Saccharomyces cerevisiae S288C: one gene and its partners. The gene in region 2 interacts genetically with the main gene of each other region. Each region holds a gene or a part of one and is shown on either strand. Other genes may lie near its edges.

Evidence for each region.
Region 1: of ROY1 (region 2) and YMR1, extra expression of one rescues a mutant of the other (dosage rescue), as found in Saccharomyces cerevisiae (one study listed by BioGRID).
Region 3: mutations in ROY1 (region 2) and THI72 together harm fitness more than expected from each alone (negative genetic interaction), as found in Saccharomyces cerevisiae (2 studies listed by BioGRID).

The regions. Positions count from the first base shown.
Region 1 is NC_001142.9:631,632-636,225, reverse strand, and holds YMR1 (phosphatidylinositol-3-phosphatase YMR1), read right to left. Parts: upstream 2,612-4,594; coding exon 545-2,611; downstream 1-544. Other genes in the region: PXP2 (Pxp2p), read left to right, coding at 1-371; carbamoyl-phosphate synthase (glutamine-hydrolyzing) CPA2, read left to right, coding at 3,285-4,594. UniProt on the Saccharomyces cerevisiae protein: Lipid phosphatase which dephosphorylates phosphatidylinositol 3-monophosphate (PI3P). Involved in the control of PI3P-dependent signaling and in the maintenance of endosomal system integrity.
Region 2 is NC_001145.3:782,113-786,215, reverse strand, and holds ROY1 (Roy1p), read left to right. Parts: upstream 1-1,934; coding exon 1,935-3,596; downstream 3,597-4,103. Other genes in the region: tRNA methylation protein TRM732, read left to right, coding at 1-1,595. UniProt on the Saccharomyces cerevisiae protein: Non-SCF-type F-box protein involved in the endocytic with the vacuolar sorting pathway. Acts as a repressor of YPT52 by inhibiting the formation of active, GTP-bound, YPT52. Involved in the defense mechanism against methylmercury toxicity.
Region 3 is NC_001147.6:698,224-702,533, reverse strand, and holds THI72 (thiamine transporter), read left to right. Parts: upstream 1-1,966; coding exon 1,967-3,766; downstream 3,767-4,310. UniProt on the Saccharomyces cerevisiae protein: Low affinity thiamine transporter responsible for intake of thiamine. It is possible that the primary function is the uptake of closely related compounds and that thiamine transport is a secondary activity of these proteins.

The DNA of each region.
Region 1 (4,594 bases), on a different chromosome or scaffold from region 2:
ACAAGACAATCCAGGAAAGAGATCATACCATACAGAACGGCTTACGGCATTGGAATTCAATATACAACAAAGTCTCAACCCGCGTGGTAAACAATCTAAACTCTTCGTACCCAGACTTATGGTATTATACACTGGTCCATGTATATGGCCCTTTGTTTGCCTTTGATGAGATACTATCTGCGCAAGAGACAAGTTTAGTGATAATTGCTTCTTTGGTTCCACAAGATGTTAATCCTCAATTGCGTGGGCATTTGAAAGGTGCCTTGAATATTGGTTGTGATAAGGAAACTGTGGAGGCAGTGAGAGGATTGGCTATACTAATATCTCAGTGGTGTGGTGTTAGTTGGAAATCTGGTGTTGTAAAATTGTAAGCCCCTTTGCCGATCGGCCACTCGTTATGCTCATAATATATGTACCCTTATTCATTAAAATTAATATATATATATGTATACTAACAACGGAGAAATGCTTGAACTTTTCTATACTTCTATCATTGTATGCAAAATACTAACTCACTTATTTGTCTTCTTTGCCGTTAACCAGATCACTTTCTATTAAACATATCAAATCCAAAAATTGACAAATTTAAACCCTTACCGCCATCGGAATTACTATGCTCTTTACTCTTTTTATCCACCGATATGGGTACTGAGTCTCGTTTATGGCGTAATTCATCATTCATTTCTGAATCTTTTCTTCCATATAACTGCCACCACCATTGGACTTTCTTCAGATCCGGCGAAATCCACTCCACTTTTTCTTCCTCTTCAAGGTTTTGATCGTGCTCATTCATGCCGCTTCTTTTTCTCTGTATGAAATTTGGATTTATGAACTGCTTTCTTCTAGATCTGAAGTAGTCCCAGACACTTTTAGTCTTGTTTGGCAAATTCTGTTGAAATTTCTCCTTCTCGCTATTGGAAAGGAATGTTCCATATTGGCATGAATACAAGTGGTAAACTAGTCTTCTTAAAAATCTTTCGTTGAATTCAAATAGATCTGGGTTTTGCGTCAAAAGTTGGTATACACAGTCTAAAAATTGTTGGAAAACTGGGGAGACGAACTTTAGACTTTTCTTGTTCAATTTAAAGTTTTCGTTAAATTTTTTGGAAATTCTACTCAAATTAATTAAATTCGTCTCATCTTCACCTCCTTCATCATCTTCAGCATAATCGTCTTGAGTGTTAACACCTATGTCAAGATCATCGCCATTGGTATCCACATCGTTGAAGTTGGAATGCATAGTGTTATCATGAAATCTAATATCAGAGTTTAAATGACCACTTCTTTCCAAAAACCGGTGACCAAAAGAGCACCAATCTTTTTCCACTAGGATCATAAAACCTTCAAAAGTTCTATAGAAAGGATCCAAACAAATTTCTAATAGTGATACAACTTGACTGGTTCTGTCCCAACCGTCAGAACAATGAACCAAAACGTTGGAATGATTGAAAATGATGGACTTTAAAAGCATATCAACGGATTTTAAAATAAGAGTGTTCAACTTCAACCAATTGGAAAATTTTTGACTCCTAATTAAATTCTGTTCCAGTGGTAAATTCAAATCGCCACCTTGGCAGATAACTTCCGTCATGTATGCAGCTGTGTTGGAAACAATATGAATGTTATCTATACCAAGAAATAACCGTGTAACTGTGGGCAGTTTTAGACTTTTATCGACACCCATATTGTTATCAGCTAAAAAAAAATTATAATTATCCATATTTTCTGTCCCGCCACCCAACGCCATCTGTGCTAATGCATTTGTTCTGGGTCTGGCATCTACTATTACATGTTTCGTTCTTCTAATATCTTTATTACAAAATGAGTTGAAGCTTTCCCAAACTAATTTTTCATCTTGAATGGACCTCTGATTGATCAACCCCGGTAATGGTTGAGATGACCTAAGAATGTTGCAATCTGTTGCCTTGTGATGATAAGTTAAAACAGGAATTCTTTTCTGTGATCTAAACTTCGAAGCATGCTTCAATAATATATCTGACGTGGATCTTGGTACAAAAAGTTTTGAGGGATACGTTGGACAAAATTCATAGTGTTCGTTTACCGTGGATAGCCTCCAAGGACATGTTTCATCTTTACTGTCGAGGCCCTGCCTTCGAAATTCCTTAATTGGGTCATATATATCCCAGCTATCGGGTGAAGGTAGTTTCCTTTCCAGATTGTTGGATATGTAAATAAATGCATATAGTTGCGTGATATTGGACAGGACCGTCAAATTTAAGATGGAATCATACACCTTTCTTGCCTGTAGATGTAAATCACCACCGAAATCCAATGAGAATACCGCATAATCTTTCCCAATTACCTTGATATTTACAAAAGACCATAGATCCTTACCCTGGTAAAGCTTGTAATTCTGTGAATCCGTTCCCTCCAATTGGATTTGATTAGTGGAAGTCAACTTGGACAGTAATGTACTACCCGGGTTTTTATGCACTCCATAGATCAAAGGATATGGAAACCAAAATTCCGTCGACAATTGTGGTGACTCAAAGATCAAATGGTGAGTAGTCAAATGTAAAGTACCTTGTGTGGCCGTACCTCTTCTATGCAGCACTACATTAGATACTTTGGCAATCTTGATGTACTCCATCTTTGCGGAATGGTATACTATTTCTTTTCCCTCTTTTTAGCACTATTACACCCCGCCCACAAAATAAAAATAATAACGACGACCTAATCTCACCAAGTGACCCTTGTAAAACCTCCTTTTCTTTATAATGTTTCTTTTCTTACTAATATTTGGTACATTTAGGGTAGTGATAAAAGAATGGCAACATTGTTATTATTGTGAAAAATGAGGAAAATAGAAAATCAGAAACCCTAAAAAGTGATTTTACCCTATCAGAAATATTCAAATGTCCTAATTAAAAATAGTAAATCCCCTAAACATTCAGATTGTAAACTAGGGTTGAGAAAATGACTCATCCACCACTGTCTTCTTTCCTGCGGCATTCTATAGATTATTGTGAATGACTCTTATTGATGAGATGGCAATAACTTTTGAATATCAGAGATAGGAACCTCCATGTCGTAACGATTGTGTCACCTTGAGTAAGCATCGAGAAAATCCAATCTTTTTTTTTCCGTCATAAGCATTTCTGCCATGCTATTTGTATATATATAATTACTAATACGTCTTCTATAGTATGCCTTATCTCTTTTTTGAAGCGCTATTTAAGTTTAAGCATCGAAAAACTAACATCTATAGTTAAAATTAGTTCTATAAAGGAAGAGCAATACAGTACATAGACAGGAAGAAAAGAATGACATCGATTTATACATCAACAGAGCCTACGAATTCTGCTTTTACTACCGAGGACTACAAACCTCAATTAGTTGAAGGAGTAAATTCTGTACTTGTCATTGGATCAGGAGGGCTCTCTATTGGTCAAGCTGGTGAATTCGATTACAGTGGTTCTCAAGCTATCAAAGCTCTGAAGGAAGATAACAAGTTTACTATATTGGTTAACCCAAATATCGCTACTAACCAGACTTCTCATTCCCTGGCGGACAAGATTTATTACTTGCCCGTTACACCAGAATACATCACATATATCATTGAACTTGAAAGGCCGGATGCTATACTTTTAACCTTCGGTGGTCAAACAGGTCTAAATTGTGGGGTGGCTCTGGATGAATCTGGTGTTTTGGCTAAATACAACGTCAAAGTTTTAGGTACTCCTATCAAAACTTTGATCACTTCTGAAGATAGGGATCTTTTCGCATCTGCGTTAAAGGATATCAACATTCCCATCGCAGAATCATTTGCTTGTGAAACCGTGGATGAAGCTTTGGAGGCTGCTGAAAGGGTCAAATACCCAGTTATTGTCAGATCTGCATACGCTTTGGGTGGGTTAGGCTCAGGTTTCGCTAACAATGCAAGTGAAATGAAGGAACTTGCCGCACAGTCCTTGTCGTTGGCCCCACAAATTCTTGTTGAAAAATCTTTGAAAGGTTGGAAAGAAGTTGAATATGAAGTGGTCAGAGATAGGGTTGGTAACTGTATTACAGTATGTAATATGGAAAATTTCGACCCACTTGGTGTTCATACTGGTGATTCTATGGTTTTTGCTCCTTCGCAGACCCTATCAGATGAAGAGTTTCATATGTTAAGATCCGCCGCAATTAAAATCATTAGACACCTTGGTGTTATTGGTGAATGTAATGTCCAATACGCTTTGCAACCTGATGGGCTAGACTATAGAGTTATTGAAGTGAACGCACGTTTATCTCGTTCCTCTGCATTGGCGTCTAAGGCCACTGGTTATCCCTTAGCATACACTGCCGCCAAAATTGGGCTAGGCTATACTTTGCCAGAATTGCCAAACCCAATCACAAAAACTACAGTGGCTAACTTTGAGCCATCTTTGGATTATATTGTGGCAAAAATACCTAAGTGGGATCTTTCTAAGTTCCAATACGTGGACAGATCCATTGGTTCCTCTATGAAATCAGTTGGAGAAGTTATGGCTATTGGTAGAAACTATGAAGAAGCCTTTCAAAAAGCATTAAGACAGGTGGATCCATCATTATTGGGATTCCAAGGTTCTACTGAATTCGGCGATCAACTTGA
Region 2 (4,103 bases):
ATTCGGGAAGTGAAAGAAAATCATATCAAATTGAAAGCATTTTCTTGGTCCTTAATGTGCTACTGAGGTTACGGCCTACAGCTGGCTATACTGGTCTAAAAGAATTCAACGTTTCTGTTTATGAATGTTTATCAAATGAGAACTGGAAGATCAGAGATATGGCCTCTAGAGTATTGCATATGCTGTCGGAAAATTTTGAAGAAGAGATAAGAAAATTACTTGACTTGGCTTCTATCGCGAAGCAAAACCAGTTACATGGACACTTACTAGCACTCCAACAACTAGTACCACAATACCTTTCAGGAACTAGAGATATGGAGTTGATTCAAAGGATACTTGAAAAGAAAAGGATGCTTCTACTAGAGAACAAGTGCTTTATCACTAAAAAGGCCTACTTAAAATTGACCTGCTGTATATTGGAAACATGCGACATACCTGATTCTATTTTAAAAGATTATATCAGCACTTTGCGGAACACATTTATTGCTGAAAATAACGAATATGTTGTGGATGGTAGCAAACAGCTATATCTTGCACAAATCTTAGACATGCTCTTAAAATATGAGGATAGTATATATCTCGATGATATTTGCTTATTAGGATTGTATTCTCCATTTTATGAGGCTCAGCTCAGTACACTACAGTACATGAATACTAACTTTCACTGGGAAACTACAAGAAACTCAGAATTTCTTGAACAACTACAATTATTACTCAGGGTTCCAGATTTGCTGCCTATGGCTAAAGCTTTAGTAGTGAAAATTCTCTCAAGAAAAAAGAATACTTTATCCCTGACGACCTGCACTGATCTCCTAAAAACAAATAATAGTGAAGATACAAAACTTGCTGCCGTTTCATCACTAAGTGCTAAATTGTCTTCGCAAACCTTTCACCAGGTATGGAACTTGTTACAAGGATTTTTCGCCGATTCTTGTTCAAAAGATTTTAGATTGGCATCTTTAGAATGTTTAACTGCTTATCCAGAAAGTTGTAAGAACTCCAGAATACTATTACAACTGTACAACTTCTTATGGGACGATGATTCTGAAATAAGAGAAAAGGCTTCTTTTTATTTGAATAAGAACTTTATTCAAACTGCAGACTGGGAATATAACAGGAACACCAGTGTGACCGCTCTTATATTCACAAAAAAGTTTGTTGACGTATTCACAAGTTCTGAGGTGGTAGAAGAGTTGTGTTTACAGTTGTTTCAATATCTAAATGAATATGATATGTTTGCTGCCGAAGAATCGGCGAAGAATTGTCTATTTACTATAGAAAAGGATAACCAGTTCATCAACGAACTACAAAAGGCAATGCATATATTAAATATGATAAAATTGACTGGAAGGGATATCTCAAAGTGTTACAAAGACCAGATACATCACCTAAAAAGTGCTCTATTGGAGCACTTCAACACCGAGGATTTTAAAGATTCCCCACTCGGCTGGTGCTCTAATGCTGAAATATTTTCAAGAATAACGCTTTTAAAGGAACTGATTCAACATTATTCTCCTTCTGATTATGAGAATTTTATCAATGTTCTGACTAAACATTCTGTTCATCCCCTAATTATCAGTTATTCCCAATTATAAATAATGAATATGTACAGATATATACTTTGCATATAATCTGATTCATCTCTAACCTACTTGTGGATTTAGTGACGAGATTCATTGTGGAACCTATTACAAAGCATGTCGATTTCTATTCTAAATACAATGATGGAACTTGATTTAATTTCTTTACCGTTGTCATTTTCTTTTGAATTTTTTCCACCTCTTTTTTTGTTGAAAAATGTTCATGGATGGAAAATTAAAGGTGTGCCCTATTACAAAAGCAAGTTGTACCCCTTTACTAACTCTCTAGTCAATTTGAACTATTGTGAAAACGACAGTTGTGCTCACATGATATAACAAAAGTAATACTGACAAATGGCATTCCAAGATCAAGATATATTCATAGTGTTCTCGCATGCCTCCTTATTTCTTAATCAAAATGATTTATTAAGCCTAAGTCTAACATCCAAAAAAATGCATGACATGATTGCAATCCCTCGTCTTTATAGCAATATTCACATAACTAAGAATCCTGTTTTAAGAACAAACAAATGGTTTTTGGACGGGGGAAAAACTTATGTAAGTGGTTATAGATCTGTTCTGAAAACCGGTGACAAGAATGACATATTTTTATATGATAGAATTGAAAGGTTGTTGGAGACATCGCATTTAAAATGTATAAAACAGCTGACTATTGACGAGGATTTGTTTCACAACAGGGAAGAAGGATTGCAACTGTTACAAAGATTGGTCAATGAAATCACTGACTTGGACGTGATTGAAAGTCTTGACATCAAGGATCCTACCTTGTTTGAGTTATGTTCAGCAAAGTATTATCGCCTGTCAAGTTTAAAGAAGAGAGTAGTATATGGCGAAACTGGATTTGATGGTATCAAATTATGGCAAAACTTCAAAAGCTTAAAATGGCAATTACCTGAATCGTTGGATTTGCAAAACGTAATAATCCCTGAAGTGGGTGTAATGTTAATGAAGCAACTTAATGGAGGAGAGTTAGAAATAAAGGACGAAGCGTACTCAAGCCTAAGGGTCTTTGAATACTTTGATTCCCTGAACCTCCGCTTCAAGAATCTGCGCCGTTTGAAGCTTAATCATGTTCACAAACAAGGTGATGGGAGTGCTACTTCTATGAGATTATCTTCACGCGCGTTTAAGGATGTAGTTAATTTATCCAATCTTAAAGCCCTTGAATTAGAATTTTCTTGTGAGGTGGACGACTGTGAATGTGATGATGACTTTCTTCAAGATATAACAGGAAACCTTGTTTCCTTAACAAGTCTGGGGTTCATTGAAAAGACATTCACCAAAAAAGGGTACCATTACATGGACGAGAAATGGGACTTGGTCGTTAATAAGTTTATTTTAAATTTACCAAACGTGAGTAAAGATTTGCGTTTGTTAAGCATACGACATGACCCACCTTTAAATGGCAAGGGCATTGATACTGTTGATGGGAACTTGCTTCGCCGTAAAAAACTTTATGAAAAGGTTTTACCAAAGCTAACTTCGTTGGAAACAATAATAGCTCCAACTGTATTGCAGTCCATCACCTCATATGAAATGTATGCGTGTGACCTTTTGTGGAACGGCTGCAAATGTGCGTTCTGCTCCAAATACTTACCATTATTTGATAAGTACATCATGAATCATCAATACTTTTCGACCCCGGATGCAAGATACTTGGATATTATACCGATAGTGTTTGCAGCATATACTGGAAAATCTCTAGCTAAGAGGTTTGATCCTCAGAAGAACTGGGATTTGGATTTACTACAGTATGCCCCTGAGGATACGACGTGGAATTTCCATGGCTTTGAGAGAATTCATCACTTTGCAAGTTATGAATGTTATTTTGACGAATCCTCATTTGAGCCCTTAGCCACTATTATATCGCATTTTTTTTATCCTTACATGAACTACTTGATAAAGATATTGCCAAACCTTCGCCAAACTATGTTGTCAGGAATATACTTTAGCGTGAGCCCAGAATTACACACTTATGAAACTATTTATGATTAAACTTGATAGTTGTGATAAACATTTCTTATGTACATTTGTTGAAGGAGTTCGTATATATACAGCCAGTTGAGTAATAATTATATTTTACTATTGCATTTCATAATTATTACCCGGACCTTACGAGTTCTTCGAATAATAACCATATATTTCAGAAAGGTAGGCATACCGAAGGAAGAGACAATGAAAAAACTGAAATGAACAAGCTTCTGTATACGATCCAAGGATCAGAAACGGTTGTTATTTATTGTTTGGACTTCTTGTTGTTAGGCTTTATTTACCGTGCATAATACTATCTGATACTTTGAGAAACCCCTCCCCCCACAGAAAGGTTCAAAATTTACAATTGCTGCACTAGGTCTACACTTTCCTCTAGATTTGTAACTTGAAGACCCCATTCCAATCGTTTAACCTGTCTTTCCTTTTATTATCGTTTTATTCTCTTCCTTTTTTATAAAATTCTATCTGGTATAGAGCATTTTTATGTTGATCATAACTTTTCATGTATTC
Region 3 (4,310 bases), on a different chromosome or scaffold from region 2:
CACATGTTTATGAGAACAGTATCAAGCACCTTAATTCCGAGGCTGTAATAAATGGGACATTTTGGACAGAATGTCTCATTATCCCCGAACCGAAGCCTTTGAAATTGATCTGCAAATGAGGTAATTCAGCTGGATGGTTTTTCATAATATATTGAACATCTGGGAAGAATTTCACGTCACCTCTCGGTTTATCTCAGTAGTATTTAGAGTATTCTTCAAGTTCTGATGGGAATTTTCTCGCCATGCCTGAATTTCAGTTAATACGTGTTTAAGCTCCGAAATCCATGTATCAAAATTCACTGCAAAAAGGTTGTAATTTGATGGAGGAGATCAAGCTAGGTAACATATTCATTCGAGATGTCCACCTGCACCGAGTAGTCCTCTTTAAATCTTGGAAGAAAACACGTCAGCGATGCCAAGATGAGTGGGCTTCAAACCAAAACCAAAATTTCAACGTATAGGCCATTGTGCTCGATGATGAAGGGACTGCAAAAATATCGGTGGTTTAAGATAAGCAATTGTAAGATATAGAAGAAAAGCTGACGAAAAAAGAACTCATACCTTACTCCAAAATGGACACTGACATATTCTCCCATTCGGTGGATTTGAAATCCTCAGTGGATAGATAGGCAGAGTTGAGCCAATTTGCCTAGGGAGTTGATTACCGTTAATCCTGCTTGAAAGCAGCATATTAAACCTTCCCCGAAGTTTGCCATAGGACCGTATGACGCATCCTGGACTTCATCCCATCACTGTGCTGGGACTTGAAAATAAATGTTTCGCCCGTGGTAAAAAGTGTGTGGGAATAAGGTAGCCCTCTACTTCTTAGCATACTCAAAAAGAGATGCTAATAGTCAATCTACGGCCTGATTCAGGACTGCCTCACGGAAAATTACATCGCTTCGGGATTCGTGATCATCTGGCTAGAGTTTCTTGATATGTATCTCTGAGCGATATGGCTATTTACTAAGCAGTTGCCACCTTTGAGAGTAGTTGCCAACATGGACAGCAAATTTGCAGAAATAGGAAAGGACGCCACGGTACTCCCTAACCGACTACAAACTCATCTTTTCCGGAATGAAATGGTATTACCACCGAAGACGTCATTGCTGATCACATAAACAAGATTCAAGAGCGTGGTTACGTCTCAGAACCGACGATCCTCGTGAGGCTTGCTTGGCGCAGGGCTTCAATTCCATTATTTTGCGGAATCTTCTACGAAGCCCTTCCAGCATAGAGAAATGAGACAAAACCTCACAGGATTTACGAAGACCACTGCATGTAGGGCTGATATTGTGAAGGACACTTCCTAAAGGTTAGAACTAGTAGCATAAAACGAATAGATACAAGATTATCCTATTATAAATACGTGTTCGCACCGTAGTATCCATATAACGGCATTTTGCAACCATTCACATAAGATAGACTGTTCCGCTTCATCGCATAGTCGGCCACACTGCATATGTGTATTTTGAGCGCTAGGCGTCAGTGTACTACGCCCTACAATAAGTTGTAGTCACAGAAGCGCGCGCGCGGGCACATGAGTGCATGATGACAGGCTCCTTCACTGGCATAACAATAGCGCACAGATCCGCAGGTTTCGTAATACGCTTAACAATAGGCGTCTCCTGCTGGTTGCCTTATTAATTTATATGGAAGACGAGATAATTCATTAATTAGTCTACTCGACTAGATGAAATAGCTTTTTCTGGTAGTTGCACAGAAAGAAGGAAGACAATAGATAAAAGAATGTGGACGAATATTTTGCATTCGCTATCATAATAGAATTCATTTCTTCTCTTTTTTCTTCTCTTTTTTCTTTCCATTTTTTATATATGAGAGCTGTAATTTCAATGTTGCCAAGAGCGTGTACCATGTTATTTTCCACTGTAGAACTTGTATCATCATCTATTGCTCTCATATCTGATATACTATCAAGCAAAAAAAACTCTAGCATTACACCATTATGAGTTTCGGTACGAGAATCTCCAGGGCTTTGAGATTTTTGGAAATTCCTGTTAAAAATAGGGCCTCCGTGAATTTTTTAAGGAACCCTGATTTGCAACCTATCAAGTCTGTTAATCAAACGTGGGGGTTTTGGTCTAATTTTGCGTATTGGGGTGTTCTGTCCTTCAACGTTGGTATGTGGATAGGCGGTTCGTCTGCATTAACTGTTGGGTTAAGTTACTCAGAGACCATCGGTGCGTTTATTATTGCTGATTTGTTGACCATCCTGTTTGCTTTAGCCAACTCTTGTCCTGGCTATGACTGGAAGGTCGGCTTCACTCTAGCTCAAAGATTCGTCTTTGGGATTTACGGTTCAGCTCTTGGTATCATTATCAGAATATTGATGAGTATTGTCTATTATGGTTCCAACGCTTGGTTAGGTGGGCTTTGTGTAAACATGATATTAGATTCTTGGTCTCACCACTATTTGCATCTGCCCAATACTTTGTCCTCGAAAGTTGCCATGACCACCAAGGAATTGATCGGCTTCATTATCTTCCATATCCTTACCGCGTTCTGTTACTTTATGAAGCCATACCATATGAACTATATTTTAATTTGGTCGTGTGTTGGTACTTTCTTCGCCATGTTGGGTATGGTAATTTACTTAACTAAGAGCGCACATGGTGTTGGTGACTTGTTCACTTCTACTCATTCCACAGTTACTGGCTCTAAAAAGGCTTGGGCTTGGGTTTATACGATCTCGTACTGGTACGGTTCTGTTTCTCCAGGCTGTACCAATCAAAGTGACTTCTCCAGATTTGGTTCCTCTAATTGCGCTATCTGGACTGGTACTATAGTTGCTTTACTAATACCAGCAACCTTGATCCCAGTATTCGGTATCATTGGTGCTTCTGCTTGTGAAAAATTATACGGTCAAACATTTTGGATGCCTATGGACATCTTTGACAACTGGTTGACAACTAACTATTCTGCAGGCGCGCGTGCAGCTACATTCTTCTGTGGTTTTTGTTTTGTAATGTCTCAAATTTCATATACCATCTCCAACTGTGGGTTTGCCAGTGGTATGGATTTGGCTGGTTTATTACCGAAATATGTTGATATTAAGAGAGGTGCTATTTTTGCCGCATGCGTCTCCTGGGCCTGTTTGCCATGGAACTTTTACAACTCTTCTTCTACTTTCTTGACTGTTATGAGCTCTTTCGGTGTCGTAATGACACCTATTATCACTGTCATGATCTGTGATAATTTCCTCATCAGGAAGAGACAATACTCCGTTACCAATGCCTTTGTTCTAAAGGGTGAATACTATTTTACCAAGGGTGTCAACTGGAGAGCTATCGTTGCCTGGGTGTGTGGTATGGCTCCCGGTCTACCTGGTATCGCTTGGGAAGTCAATAATGACTATTTCCACAACACTGGTATTATAAATTTTTTCTATGGTGATTCTTTCTTCTCCTTTTTGATTTCCTTTTTCGTCTATTGGGGACTATGCCTCCTCTTCCCATTCAAAATTACTGTCAAACATGATGACAAAGATTACTACGGTGCGTTTACCGACGAAGAAGCAAGGAAGAAGGGCATGGTTCCATACAGTGAAATTTCTGAAGAAGAAATCCGTGCTTACACATTAGGCGAATGCTTCACAAGTGGACACGAATACAAACCTGAGAGCTCCGATGATGAACTACCTGAGTTGACAAAAACTAGTTCAGAAAACACAAAAGTGTTTGAAATTGTTCATCAGAAAGATAATGAAAAGGAATCCTCTACTTCCAGTGAAAAACAAATTGCCTAATGAGCAAAAAACCTAATAAAATGATCATACTTAGTGTTCATTCAAGATCTTTCGCTAGTATTAAAATTCGAGATAATTAAACACACTCTTTAGTCCCAGGAAACACTACTATTAAGCTTGTTGGTCGTACAGGATATAGAGGTCATTTCGATTATTTCATTCTTCCACTAATGTTTGATTGACGATTCAGATCACTGTTTTTGTTTGGCTGATAATTGTAACAAGAAAAAAAAACTACCGCTTCTTTTCAGTATTTCTGTTGAGGATGATATTTTCATTGATTCTCTTATCAGCTTCAGTGCCGATATCCTATCAGGCTCTAGTAGGGCTGAAAATTAGGTGGAGGCGATTTTGTTACTCTTTTGTTCAAGTCTGAGCTTATGACGTCCTGCGACATACTTTTCTTATTACGTACTTATGATAAGTACCGGTTGCCTATGAGAGGAAATCGAAAGTCATTAAATCAAAAAAAAAAAAATAACTTGCATTGCATTGTGCGATTAAAGAGCAAAACTTATTTGATAAGAAACCTTTTCTAGAGCAT